Cricetulus griseus: one gene and its partners. The protein of the gene in region 1 interacts with the protein of each later gene in a biochemical or structural test. Links are inferred from orthologs where the notes say so. Each region holds a gene or a part of one and is shown in the gene's direction. Other genes may lie near its edges.

What was found.
Region 2: of the proteins of Zfp36 (region 1) and Mapkapk2, one has a biochemical effect on the other in vitro, tested with the Homo sapiens proteins (2 studies listed by BioGRID). The link is inferred for Cricetulus griseus from reciprocal best matches to the Homo sapiens genes ZFP36 and MAPKAPK2.
Region 3: the proteins of Zfp36 (region 1) and Ywhab form a complex in vitro, tested with the Homo sapiens proteins (2 studies listed by BioGRID). The link is inferred for Cricetulus griseus from reciprocal best matches to the Homo sapiens genes ZFP36 and YWHAB.

What each region holds. Positions count from the first base shown.
Region 1 is NC_048602.1:7,508,784-7,513,029, forward strand, and holds Zfp36 (mRNA decay activator protein ZFP36), read left to right. Parts: upstream 1-1,380; 5' UTR 1,381-1,466; coding exon 1,467-1,490; intron 1,491-2,167; coding exon 2,168-3,112; 3' UTR 3,113-3,883; downstream 3,884-4,246. Other genes in the region: putative uncharacterized protein FLJ46214, read left to right, coding at 1,008-1,380. UniProt on the Homo sapiens protein: Zinc-finger RNA-binding protein that destabilizes several cytoplasmic AU-rich element (ARE)-containing mRNA transcripts by promoting their poly(A) tail removal or deadenylation, and hence provide a mechanism for attenuating protein synthesis.
Region 2 is NC_048598.1:57,962,745-57,966,877, forward strand, and holds the start of Mapkapk2 (MAP kinase-activated protein kinase 2), read left to right. Parts: upstream 1-1,303; 5' UTR 1,304-1,608; coding exon 1,609-1,845; intron 1,846-4,133. UniProt on the Homo sapiens protein: Stress-activated serine/threonine-protein kinase involved in cytokine production, endocytosis, reorganization of the cytoskeleton, cell migration, cell cycle control, chromatin remodeling, DNA damage response and transcriptional regulation.
Region 3 is NC_048599.1:15,508,048-15,511,614, reverse strand, and holds part of Ywhab (14-3-3 protein beta/alpha), read left to right. Parts: intron 1-733; 5' UTR 734-735; coding exon 736-1,035; intron 1,036-3,130; coding exon 3,131-3,254; intron 3,255-3,567. UniProt on the Homo sapiens protein: Adapter protein implicated in the regulation of a large spectrum of both general and specialized signaling pathways. Binds to a large number of partners, usually by recognition of a phosphoserine or phosphothreonine motif.

The sequences.
Region 1 (4,246 bases):
AGTAGCCACTGTAGCACCGAGCCTTCTTTATCCCCCCCTCCCCCACCTTAGTGGTTTCTCTTTTTAGAAATCGGACCTGGAACTCGATCAATACTGAGACTGGCACTGAACGCCTGATTTCATCTCCCCCCACCTCTGAAATGCCGTGATGACAGCCATATGCTACTGGCTGGTTTGTGGGACTTTAGGTTGTTTGTTTTTTGAGACAGAGTTTTCTCTGTGTAGCTTTGGAGCCTGTCCTGGAACTTGCTCTTGTAGACCAGGCTGGCCTTGAACTCAGAGATCCGCCTGCCTCTGCCTCCCAAGTGCTGCGATTAAAGGCGTGCGCTAACACCCCCGGCAGCGCAGGCGTTGTTTTTAAACTTGGTTTTCTGTGTAGCCATGGCTGTTCTGGAATTCACTCTGGAGACCAGGCTGGCCTCGAACTCAACAGATCCGCCTGCCTCTGTCTCAGAGTGCTGGGATCAAACTGGTTTTAATGGCCACTGTGCCAACCACCGCCTGGCCCTTTTTTATTTTTAGTTTGTTTTTTCGAGGCAGGGTTCCTCTGCGTAGTCTTGGATGAACTGGAACTCGCTTTGTAGACCAGGCTGGCCTGGAACTCAGAGATGCGCCTGCCCCTGCCACCTAAGTGCTGGGATTAAAGGCGAGCCACACTATCCTCTGGCTAACCCCCTTTTTTTTTAAGTTTTTCGAGACAGGGTTTCTCTGTAGCTTTGGAGCCTATCCTGGCACTCGCTCTGCAGACCAGGCTGGCCTCGAACTTACAGAGATCCACCTGCCTCTGCCTCCCGAGTGCTGGGACTAAAGGCGTGCGCCACCAACGCCGGGGGCCCCCGTTTTACTTCTTAAGACAAAGGTCCCACCATGTTACCCAGGGGGCCCTAGAACTCCCTCTATAGTAATTTTTGCAGCCTCCTGCCTCAGCCTCCCCGAGTGGCTGTCCTAACTTGCGTACGTCTGTCTCTGTTTTCCTCCCGGCCTCTGGCCATCTCCGTCTCTTGCAGATGTCTCTCCCCGCCCCGCCCCGGTGTGTCTCACACGCCCACGCCCTCCCGGGTCCCTGCCCTTGTCAATTGTCCCCGGGGCCCTGCCCCCACTCCTCCTACCCCAGCTCCCTTCCCGATCGTCGCCAACCTTCCAAAACTACTCCGACGCCCCGCTAACCATCAGGGTGACAAAGCCCCGGCTACACCGCCCCGAGACGGGCCGGGGCTGCCCGCGAGCCGAGTTGGGGCACATTCAAGCAAAGTAACGAGCCAGCCGAGGGGCGGAAGGGGCCGAGTCCCCCGGTGGGCTGGGCTGACCCCGCGGGGGCGCGTCCGGGAAGCGCCCTTGGCCACGCCCCCGCCACGCCCCCCAGGCCGCAAGCTCTTATAAAGAAGGAAAGCTCGCGCCGCCGGCCACAGCCAGACTTGTGCGGCCCGAGCCACGGTCTCCTCCTCTCCACGGCCGTTCGCGCCACCATGGACCTCTCTGCCATCTACGAGGTGAGTGCTGCCCGCACGGCACTCCCGAGTCCTCCGGAGCCCCAGCCCTGCCCTGCCCTGCCCTACCCTGACCTGCCCGGCTCGGCTCCGGGTGGTGAGCCAGGGGCGCCCACGAGCCCGGAGCCCGGCGCCTGCCGGCCCCGGGGACCGAGAGCTGGCGCGCTGGTGTCACTGGCGCGGGGCGGAAGTGGCCCCGCACCTGCCCGGTCCCCTCGCCCGCCTCGCGCGCCGTTTGTCGCCCCAGCTAGTGTAGGGTAGGGCTGGGGGGAGTTGGAGAGAGAGAGAGAGAGAGAGAGAGAGATCTGGTCTGGGTCGGCTTTGACCGGTCCCTCCTCCAAGTTTGTGAAACTGGAGCGCCCATGGGCGGTCATATCCGGGGAGGTCTAGAGGCCCGAAGTTGGGGCGCAGTTGTGTCCTCTGATTTGGGGGTGCCGTGTCTGGCTCAGTCGGGGACACCGGGCTTCCTGGGTCCTCCTGGCTCAGCTTCGGAGGCGTGGAAACCCTCAGATCCCCCACCATCAGGTTCTCCCCCGGACTTGGTGTGATCCGGGTGGGGCTCAGCACCCAGAACCCACAAACCGGAATGGCAAGCTTGTGAAGTTATTTACAAACCGGGGCGGGCGGGGCGTCGTCACCTCACCTTTTCTGGTGGCCTAACCGAACCCTGTTCCTCTCAGAGCCTCCTGTCGTTGGGCCCAGACCTGTCATCCGACCACGGAGGGACCGACCCCTCGGTCTTTTGGAGCATAAACTCGTCTGACTCCATCCCAGCCGGGGTCACTTCCCGCCTGACCGGCCGCTCCACCAGCCTGGTGGAGGGCCGAAGCTGCGGTTGGGTGCCCCCACCCCCGGGTTTTGCACCCTTGGCTCCCCGCCCGGGCCCTGAACTGTCACCCTCACCGACTTCGCCTACTGCGACTCCCACCACCACCACCACCACCGCCTCCCGGTACAAGACCGAGCTCTGTCGGACCTACTCGGAGAGCGGGCGTTGTCGATACGGGGCCAAGTGCCAGTTTGCCCACGGCCTGGGTGAATTGCGCCAGGCCAATCGACACCCCAAGTACAAAACGGAACTCTGCCACAAGTTCTACCTCCAGGGCCGCTGTCCCTATGGCTCTCGATGCCACTTCATCCACAACCCCAACGAAGACCTGGCTGCCCCGGGCCAGCCCCATGTGCTTCGACAAAGCATCAGCTTCTCGGGCTTGCCCTCTGGCCGCAGAACCTCGCCGCCGCCACCAGGCTTTCCTGGCCCTTCCCTGTCCTCATGTTCCTTTTCACCCTCTAGCTCCCCACCACCACCCGGGGACCTTCCACTTTCCCCTTCTGCCTTCTCTGCTGCCCCTGGGACCCCTGTGACTCGAAGAGACCCCGTTCCAGCCTGCTGCCCCTCCTGCCGAAGGTCAACCCCTAACACCATCTGGGGGCCCTTGGGTGGCCTGGCTCGGAGCCCATCTGCACACTCCCTGGGATCCGATCCAGATGACTATGCCAGCAGCGGCAGCAGCCTGGGTGGGTCAGACTCACCCGTCTTTGAAGCTGGGGTGTTTGGGCCTCCCCCACCCACTGCACCCCCAAGGCGTCTCCCCATCTTCAATCGCATCTCTGTTTCTGAGTGACAAATGCCTAACTAGTGTGGGTCAGCTAGATCTCAAGAGGGTTGCTTATTGTTGTGGGGACCTAGGGGGGGACTCCTAAATCCCTAAGTGCCTCCCTGACATTCCAAAATGCATTAACCCACTCCCCTGGTGCTGTGCTGGGGCAGGTCCCTAGTTTGCAAATTCAGTGTTTGGGTGTATTGGTTCATGAGGTACCTAAAATGTAGCATTTTTGTGGGGGACAGTTGACAGTTGGTCTTCCAGGCCCAACTCTTTTGGGTTGCTTCTGAGATAGGGCTTAGTATAGAGCCCAGGCTGTCTTTGAACTTGAGATAATCCTTCCTTAGATTCCTAAGTTTTGGTGTTATATAGGCATGCACCAGCCCCCTCCCCAACTCTGGTCTCCTGGAATCTTAAGTGCTGTGAAGAGCTGGCTCCCACAACCCCATCCCAGTTTTTACTAGACCCGGAGTTTCAGTGTCTGGTGGTTGAAGCCTCCCCTGACGGAGAATCCTGGTGCTCAAATTTCCCTCCGAAAGCAAATAGCCAAAGCCATTGCCAAATCCCTTCTCCAACCAGTGGGCCCTTTATTTATGACGACTTTTATTTATTGTAATAAGATTTTATAGTATTTATATATATTGGGTCGTCTACTTCGTGTTTTCTTTTTGTAATATTAAAATGGATACTGTATTAAGTATACTATAATATATTAAGTAATATATTGCTACCTTACAGGTCTATTTTTGTGGTTTTATGGAATTTTTAAATAAAATCCCAAGTGCGAACTGAGATGGAATTGCTTTATTTTCACGGGCCACAGCTGTGGGATGGTGGGCAAACTGACCTCCAGCCTCGCCGGGCAGCCTCTGGGCGCTTACCTGGCAGGAAGTGACGCTCCCCTCCGGTTGGTTCACCTGAGGGGGCGTGGTGAGGTGAGGTCACCCAGCAGAAACCAGGAGAGCTAGTTCTGGCGTTGGGGGCGCTCCAGGCCTGTCCCTCCGGCTCTTGACCCAGCTCGGGCAGGGACGGGATGTTTCCGTCCCCATGAGGCCAAGGGTGGAGGGAGGGGAGGGGCGGGGCGGGGAGGACGGAATGTGCCGGAACGCGAGCCGGGGCGGCCAGGGGCAGGGGGTCACCCCGAAGCCGGTCTTA
Region 2 (4,133 bases), on another chromosome or scaffold:
ATTGAACACAGTACTGAAGAAAGTGCTACTTGAAAGGGGACCAGTTGTCTCCTTGTTCCACAGTGAGTTTTGCTGGATCCTGAAAGGGTGACTACAGTCCTTCACTTTTTCATCTCTGCCTTCCTTGGGACAAGCGTCTTCTGAAAATCTGAACAGGGAGTAGACACTAGCAAAAGAGCCTTACTCTCCTAGGCTATGTCTCCAAGACCCTTTTCTCAGGATACTGCCTCATCTCCAGAGTTTTCTTGGAACACATTAGAGACTGTCTGTGGCCATAGGTCAGGCTCCATCTCTAATTTGTCTGTATCTGTAAGTAAACTGGAACTGTGTAGCTATTTTGTTCCTTCATTTCATTTCTCAACCACTCTAACAGTCAAACCCTTGTGGATCTCAGCTACACTATGGGCCAGTGAGGCCCCTTTTCCTCAGAAACTTGTACTAGAACTAGGTTGCTTCAGAAATACTTCTTACTGTTTGTAGCCTCAGGGATAAATTCCCCCAACCCTAGAACCAGTCTCCTGCCCTTCCCCCTTGCTATGTTAGCTCCATGAATTCAGAAACAATGAAAAGGTATATACTGGAGAGGCACGGTGATTTGTGGGTGTTTTGCGATACTGTGCCTTTGTTGCTCAGGCTGACCCTCTGACTTGTCATCCTTCTGCTTCAGCTTTCTGTGCATAGCAGGGATTACAGGGGTCCACAGTGCCCCATCTTTTTCCCATCTTGGATTTACATTAAAAATATGCTCAAAGCACAATAACTGAATTGTTCATGATTGCACAGCAATGCATTTTTAATGAAAAACAGTAAACCCATGAGAAAAAAAATGTAAAAGGCACAGGAATGTTAAGGAAATCGTTACTATTGCCTGACACCTGATGAATAGCCTCGGTAACCCTATCGCTGCCCCAGTACCCCACATATCCTAGGGGCCACGTAGGCAGATTTTTATCAGCCATTCGTTTCTTTCAAAATACACATCCTCTCCAAATTCTCCGATGACCTATCTTCTAGATTCCAGCAGCTGGAGAACTACAGATTTTGTTTGAATTATCCAGTCGCTTTTCTTTTGCCCTCGCCGTTCCCTTTGCCAGGCCCTGGTTAAGAACTAGGATTTCTCGGTGGTCTCTCCCTGACCTGGGCCAGCTCGCAGTCCCTGCCAACTAGGTCCCTCTGCTCTCCCGCCGCTGGACATCCTCCCCTTTAAGGCCCACCCCTCCCCCATGCCCACGCCTCCCCCAAGCCCCACCCTCGATCCTCCCCTTTAAGGACTAGCCCAGGACGCCGAGCAGCCTGTGACGCGGCCGCCGCCCCCGGGGCTGCTACTTCTCGGCGCGGCGATTTCCCCCCCGGCCGGGCCCCGCCGTCCCGCGTTCCCCGGAGCGCTCGTCTCCGGGGGGAGGGAGCAGGGCTGGTGGGCGCCCGCGGCGCACAGCGGGACCCACGGGGCCCCGCGACCCGCCGAGCCTGGAGCCGGGCCGGGGCGGGGCAGCCGGCTCCAGCCCGGAGCAAACTTCGCCGCCGGGCGGGGCGTGGCGGGGACCCGGGCCCGAGCCGGAGGAGGGGGCGGCCGCGGCCCCCGCCTCTGCGCGCGAGTCCCCGGGCACCATGCTGTCCGGCTCTCCCGGCCAGACTCCGCCGGCGCCGTTCCCCAGCCCGCCGCCTCCCGCCCCGGCCCAGCCGCCGCCGCCGTTCCCCCAGTTCCACGTCAAGTCGGGCCTGCAGATCCGAAAGAACGCAATCACCGATGACTACAAGGTCACCAGCCAGGTGCTGGGCCTGGGCATCAATGGGAAGGTGCTGCGGATCTTCGACAAGAGAACCCAGCAAAAATTCGCCCTGAAGGTAAGTCCGGGCCGCCGTGGAGCGCAATGGGATCCGGGGCAGCTTCCGGTCACCCCGCGAGTGGCCGGGACCCGAGAGGACTCCCGGGGACTGCCATGTTGGGGTGTGAGTGGGATCCAGCCCGTGGTCACGCTTGGGTCCCGGACGGCCTCTTCTCTCTTCGCCCGGAGCCGAGGACACGGCGGCCCCATCCCCTCTCCCTCCCTCCTTCCTTTCTGCGGGCACAAAAGGCCCTTTACTCATTGAGCTGGTTGGTCGGTCGGTTTGGAGAAGTTCGCTCTCTGAGGTTTACTTAACCCTGCTCCTTATTTGGGAGCCGGAAAGTGACTTCGCTCTCCCCGGCCTCGCGAGGTCGGCGCGCAGTGGTGGGGCGCGTCGGCGCGGCGCTGGAGACTGGGGACCCCGCCTCCGTGCCCCGCGATTGTCTGGAACCGCCAGCGTCTGGCCTGCGCTGCCCCGCAGGCTCCGCCGCGCGGTTTCCATTGCTCCATGCACTGTGGGAAACCTCATGCGTAAGCCAGGCTCGGCCCAGTGCTAGTTCTGCAAGCCTACTTTGGTCCTGGTAGCTGGCAACTTCAAGGCAGGAAACCCTGTTCTTGTGTTTGGGAAAGCCACTCATCTCTCTAGGTGGATCCGTTTCTTTCTGTGTCTTTGTGTCTCTGTTTCTTTGGTAGTGGGGAATGGGGATTTCAAAAGGTCCCAGTGAAGTGTTAGTCTGTCATTCAGGGTCACTACAAAGTTTTCTTCTCCCAAGGGTTTCAAGTTACGCCATATCTCTAAAGGTCACTTGTCAGGTTTCTTTCCCCTGGGGTGTCTCAATGATTGGAGGAGCGAACTACTTCCTGTGTTATATTTTTCTCTTCCCCTTCAGCCCACACAGCTTGCTTTGTTTCAGTTATTATATATTACACATGAGTTGCGGGTGAGACTGTTGTCATATACCATCAACGGGACTAAAACCCCGGTACTTTGTAGGGGGCAAATAAGTCTAATTTCTGTGATAATGTTTTTGCTATTTTCATCCTCAGCATCAGTTTTTTTTTTTTTTCCCCTTCTATAAGCTCTTGCTGCAGGATCTTGGTTGTTGCTTGGTGTTGAGTGTAGGGGAGGGACTCTTACCCTGCCTTGGATACTGCAATAATTGTACTTTTCACTTCCCTTTCCATCCGTATTAGTAGCTAAGTGAGGAAAGGACTTGATTGGGATGATGTGGCTCTGACCTTGGGGACTGGAGGTGAGTGCACAGTTTGACCACAGCTAACTGTATTGTTGAGGAAGTGACAGATGTTCTTTCCCAGAAAGATTTCTCCCTCCTCTGAGATGCCATCTGCCTTTACGGATCAGCAGACTGGGGTACTCTGGCTGTTCATTCTCCTGGATAGTTGGAACACAATATAAGGACTTCACAACAAACCCCCTTCTCCCTTCCTGTTCTGCTTAAACACACACACTATCCTAGGCTGTCACTTAAGATTTCTGGTATAATTAACAAAGAGAAGTTTGTGTATTTTTTCCTCCTTTGAATAGTTTTGAAAAGAAAACCCCTAGCAGCATATTAAACAATCCTTGTGCTTATCCTTCTGTAGTCAGAAGTGGGTGAAGATTGAAGTTGGAGTCTGTTTTGACAGGCAGCCTGCTCCTGGATCTTAGAAGCTGACTCAACTGTTAAATTGCAGATTTCTCATACATCTATGTGTTAAGATTTAATAATAGAGGAAGGAAGGAGAGCCAAGATGTTTGGAGAATGTCAGCACAGCAGTCACCAGCATGTTCCTACCCAAATATTGACTAAGTCATAATCACAACCCTGGGGAATCTGGTTAAAAGAAATCCCATTTCAGTGACAGGCACCACAGAGATTTCTACAGTTTATACTTTAAAAACTTTAGGTGCTGAGTAGTGAAACAATGTCAAAACAAGGAGCCTTTTATGGGACAGCAAGGGAAGAGGATATAGTGGAACAGGCTGTGTTGGTGACCCTTTGGATTGATAAGATGAGACCTGTGCTCTGTAGTGTCCTGAGCCCCATGGCAAGGGACTCAGGGCATAGTGTAGCCAAGCAGCCTGGCTCTCATGGGGTTTTGGAAGGCTGCTGTCTTGTAGCCCTAAGATATGATGGGAAATAAAGGCTGCTCATAGGTTCATGCTAGTAAGTAAAACCAGAGCTTTAAGAATGATCCAGAGATGGCTTAGCAGTTAGGAGGAGCATTTGTTGCTCTTACAGAGAACTGTAACTCCAGTTCCAGGGATTCAGACACCTCGTCTGGCTTCTGTGCTCATGTTTATAT
Region 3 (3,567 bases), on another chromosome or scaffold:
AAAAAAAGTTGTTGAGGGTACTGTCAAGATGGCTTAGCAGGAAAGGGAGATTGTTGCCAAACTTGAGTTCAATCCCTGAAACCCATATGGTGCAGAGAGAGAACCAGCTCCAACAATTGCCCTCTCTTCTTCATACGTGTCCATGTGTGCACTCTTCCATGTGCATGAACATGGAAATGTCTAAAAGCAAGTAGTTTCTCAGCAGTTTCTGTGTATCGGGGAGGATGGTAGGATAATGGAACAAGCAAGTTATAGAAAGAAGAGACAGGCAAGCTGAAAGCCTTAACTCTTATTTGCGGTGGTATTCTGGGTCCATTATTTTCTCTCTTAATATTTATGTGTTTTTTTTAAGATTTTTTTTATTTATTTATTATGCATACAACATTCTGCTTCCATATATATATCTGCACACCAGAAGAGGGCACCAGATCTCATAACAGATGGTTGTGAGCCACCATGTGGTTGCTGGGAATTGAACTCAGGACCTCTGGAAGAGCAGTCAGTGCTCTTAACCGCTGAGCCATCTCTCCAGCCCCAATATTTATGTTTTCTAAGAAGGTGGAAGGGTTATTGGGAATATTCCATGTAGGATTGTTGGTAACAAAGGCCTCAGCCCAGTCCTGACTGTAGATATTCAGTACATGATCCACATTCTTGATGGCATTGGGGGCTGTGCTTCTGAGTATGCTGGTAGCCTGACATTGCTTTCTCTGTGCTCTTGCTGCTGTTCTAGGAATGACCATGGACAAAAGTGAGCTGGTACAGAAAGCCAAACTTGCTGAGCAAGCTGAGCGCTACGATGATATGGCTGCAGCTATGAAGGCTGTAACAGAACAGGGACATGAACTCTCCAATGAAGAGAGAAATCTACTCTCTGTTGCCTACAAGAATGTGGTAGGTGCCCGCCGTTCTTCCTGGCGTGTTATCTCCAGCATCGAACAGAAAACAGAGAGGAATGAGAAGAAGCAACAGATGGGCAAAGAGTACCGTGAGAAGATAGAGGCTGAGCTGCAGGACATCTGCAATGACGTACTGGTGAGGGCTGCACTTGTGCTTTTCACACTCATCCTAGGCATCATGGTCCAGATACAAACTCAAACAACTTAGGAAAGAGTGAAAGCCATTTGTAACTTGATCTAAAGAATATGATATAATTTTTATCATCCTTTCTGATCAGTTGATCATTTCTGGGATGTTTTCCTTCTCCTCTCAAAAAGGCTTGCAACAAACATAACATTTCATCAACATTCCTCCATTTTTCTTTAGAAATGAGGCCAGATGGAGAGGTTAGTTAGAAAGATGCAGTCACGAGTGGGTTGCTCTAGGGAGTGAATCGTCTCTGGAAAGGAAGAGATGGAAAGGCCTTTCAGCCTCTCCTTGGTCCTGCCCTCACAAAGTGTAGCAATCTGATGTTGAAGGTTTGGCACATTCTGTCAACTGCAATGTACAGTCCAAAGCCAAACCAAAGGTGGTATGGGGCTTTTCCCGTGTGTTATGTATACTATAGTCAGGTGTAGTTCCTTCTAACTACATGTGGGCTTGGGTGGGAGGGTTGCCAGTCCTAAAACACTTAATGATTATATTCTTTCGCTCATATCTGGAGCACACTGGGAATTTTATTTCCTATGTGAAATCAGGTAAAACTTAACTATGAGGGCTGCTTTAAAGGGAAAGGGATTAACACTTGTTGATTTCCTTCCTGCCCTACTCTCTGTCTTCCCAGATTACCTCCCTTGACATCTTCTTTTGAAAACCAATATAAAGCTTGTCAGCTGTCATGCGCATTCTTCACCCTTAACCCACGGGGTTACGCCCTTCTGCACAGTACTTTAAAACAGCTACTACCTCTTGCATACTTTGACATTGATTAATGAAATCCTTGGTAGCTGAGCTGTGCTTTGAGCCTTTCTCTTTATTAGATTCTTAGTGTAAGATAAAAGTTTCATGGCTAAACTTTTTGCCTGTCGATTGTTTGGGGGTTTGTTAATGGTGCACTAATTCCTGAATGTTAGGTACATCTGGTATTCAGATGAAGTATGGCTTGCATTCCAAAGGCAAGAGAGTTCCATAATTCCTGAATTGTAGACCAGCTTTTAAGAGCATCTGAAAGAGTATGAAGAAGAGCATGGTACTTACTGCCTCTTAACCAGTTTTTCAGGATGCCACATTCTAAAACAACTCTTCGAAAATATTGCTCTGTATACGAAGCTTGGACTCCTTCAGAACTACTTTTGTTGTAAGCATAAATGTTTAAAGGAATTTGTTATTAATAATAGTACTAGACTCTCTGAGTGCTTACTACGTGCCAAGCAACGTGTTAAGCACTAGATGTTACCTCGCTTGTCCTTATAACTACCTTAGAAGGTGGCCATGCTGGTCCCCTTGCCCCTCCCCGCTGTACAACCAAGGAATCTGAGGCTTGGGGTCCTCAGCCTCCTCTCCAGGTCATGTGGAAACAAACAGTAAGCATCAGAAGAAGGTTTTCTTCCCAGGTCAGATCAATTTTAAACTGAGTTCTTGCTGTTTTGTTCTATTGCTGCTTTTTTTTTCCCTTCCCAGAATAGAAAGACACACACACACTCAAAATTACAGAAGTAATAAAAGTTTAAATGGGGGGGGGGGGAGTTTGTTTGTTTCTACAAGATGGACAGAAGAGTTAAGAACTAAAAGTCACTTCTAATGCTATTATCCAGAGAAGCATTGTTCCTAGAATCCTCCAAGGCTTCCCCACATTTTTGTGTGCATGTACCCATGCTTATTTTAATACTAAAGTGAGATTCTTTTGTTGATAGTCTTTTCCAGCTAGATTTGTGTGAGCAATGCAGTTCTGTGCCATCCTTTTTATATCGCATCCCATTGTAGTAGCTGCATTATAGCCAGCCCTTACGGTGGTCAGAGGACTTGTAAGTGAAGGGTACAGGCTTCTGCTCTTAGGACTTGGCTAAACGGTATTTAGTAGCTTGGATGAAAGTTGGTTAGGTTTTTCTGTTTGTTGGTTTAGGGGGTTTTTTTGTTGTTGTTTTTAGTCTTCAGAAAAATCAGTAGTAGTAGTAGTGCATATCTTGAATCGCAAATGTAATTTTAACATCTCAGAAACAATTCAAAATTCTTAATGTGAATCACTTTTTAGGAGCTGTTGGACAAATATCTCATTCCCAATGCTACACAGCCAGAAAGCAAGGTGTTCTACTTGAAAATGAAAGGAGACTATTTTAGGTATCTTTCTGAGGTTGCATCTGGAGACAATAAACAAAGTAAGTAATGTTTTTAAGAAATAGTAGGAGGGGGGCTGGAGAGCTGGCTCAGAGGTTAAGAGCAGTGGCTGCTCTTCTAGAGGTCCTGAGTTCAATTCCCAGCAACCACATGGTGGCTCACAACCATCTGTTATGAGATCTGGTGCCCTCTTTTGGTGTGCAGATATGTATATGGAAGCAGAATGTTGTATGCATAATATAAAATCTTTAAAAAAGAGAGAGAGAGCTGGGCAGTGGTGGCACACACCTTTAATCCCAGCACTGGGGAGGCAGAGGTAGGTGGATCTCTGTGAGTTCGAGACCGGCCTGGTCT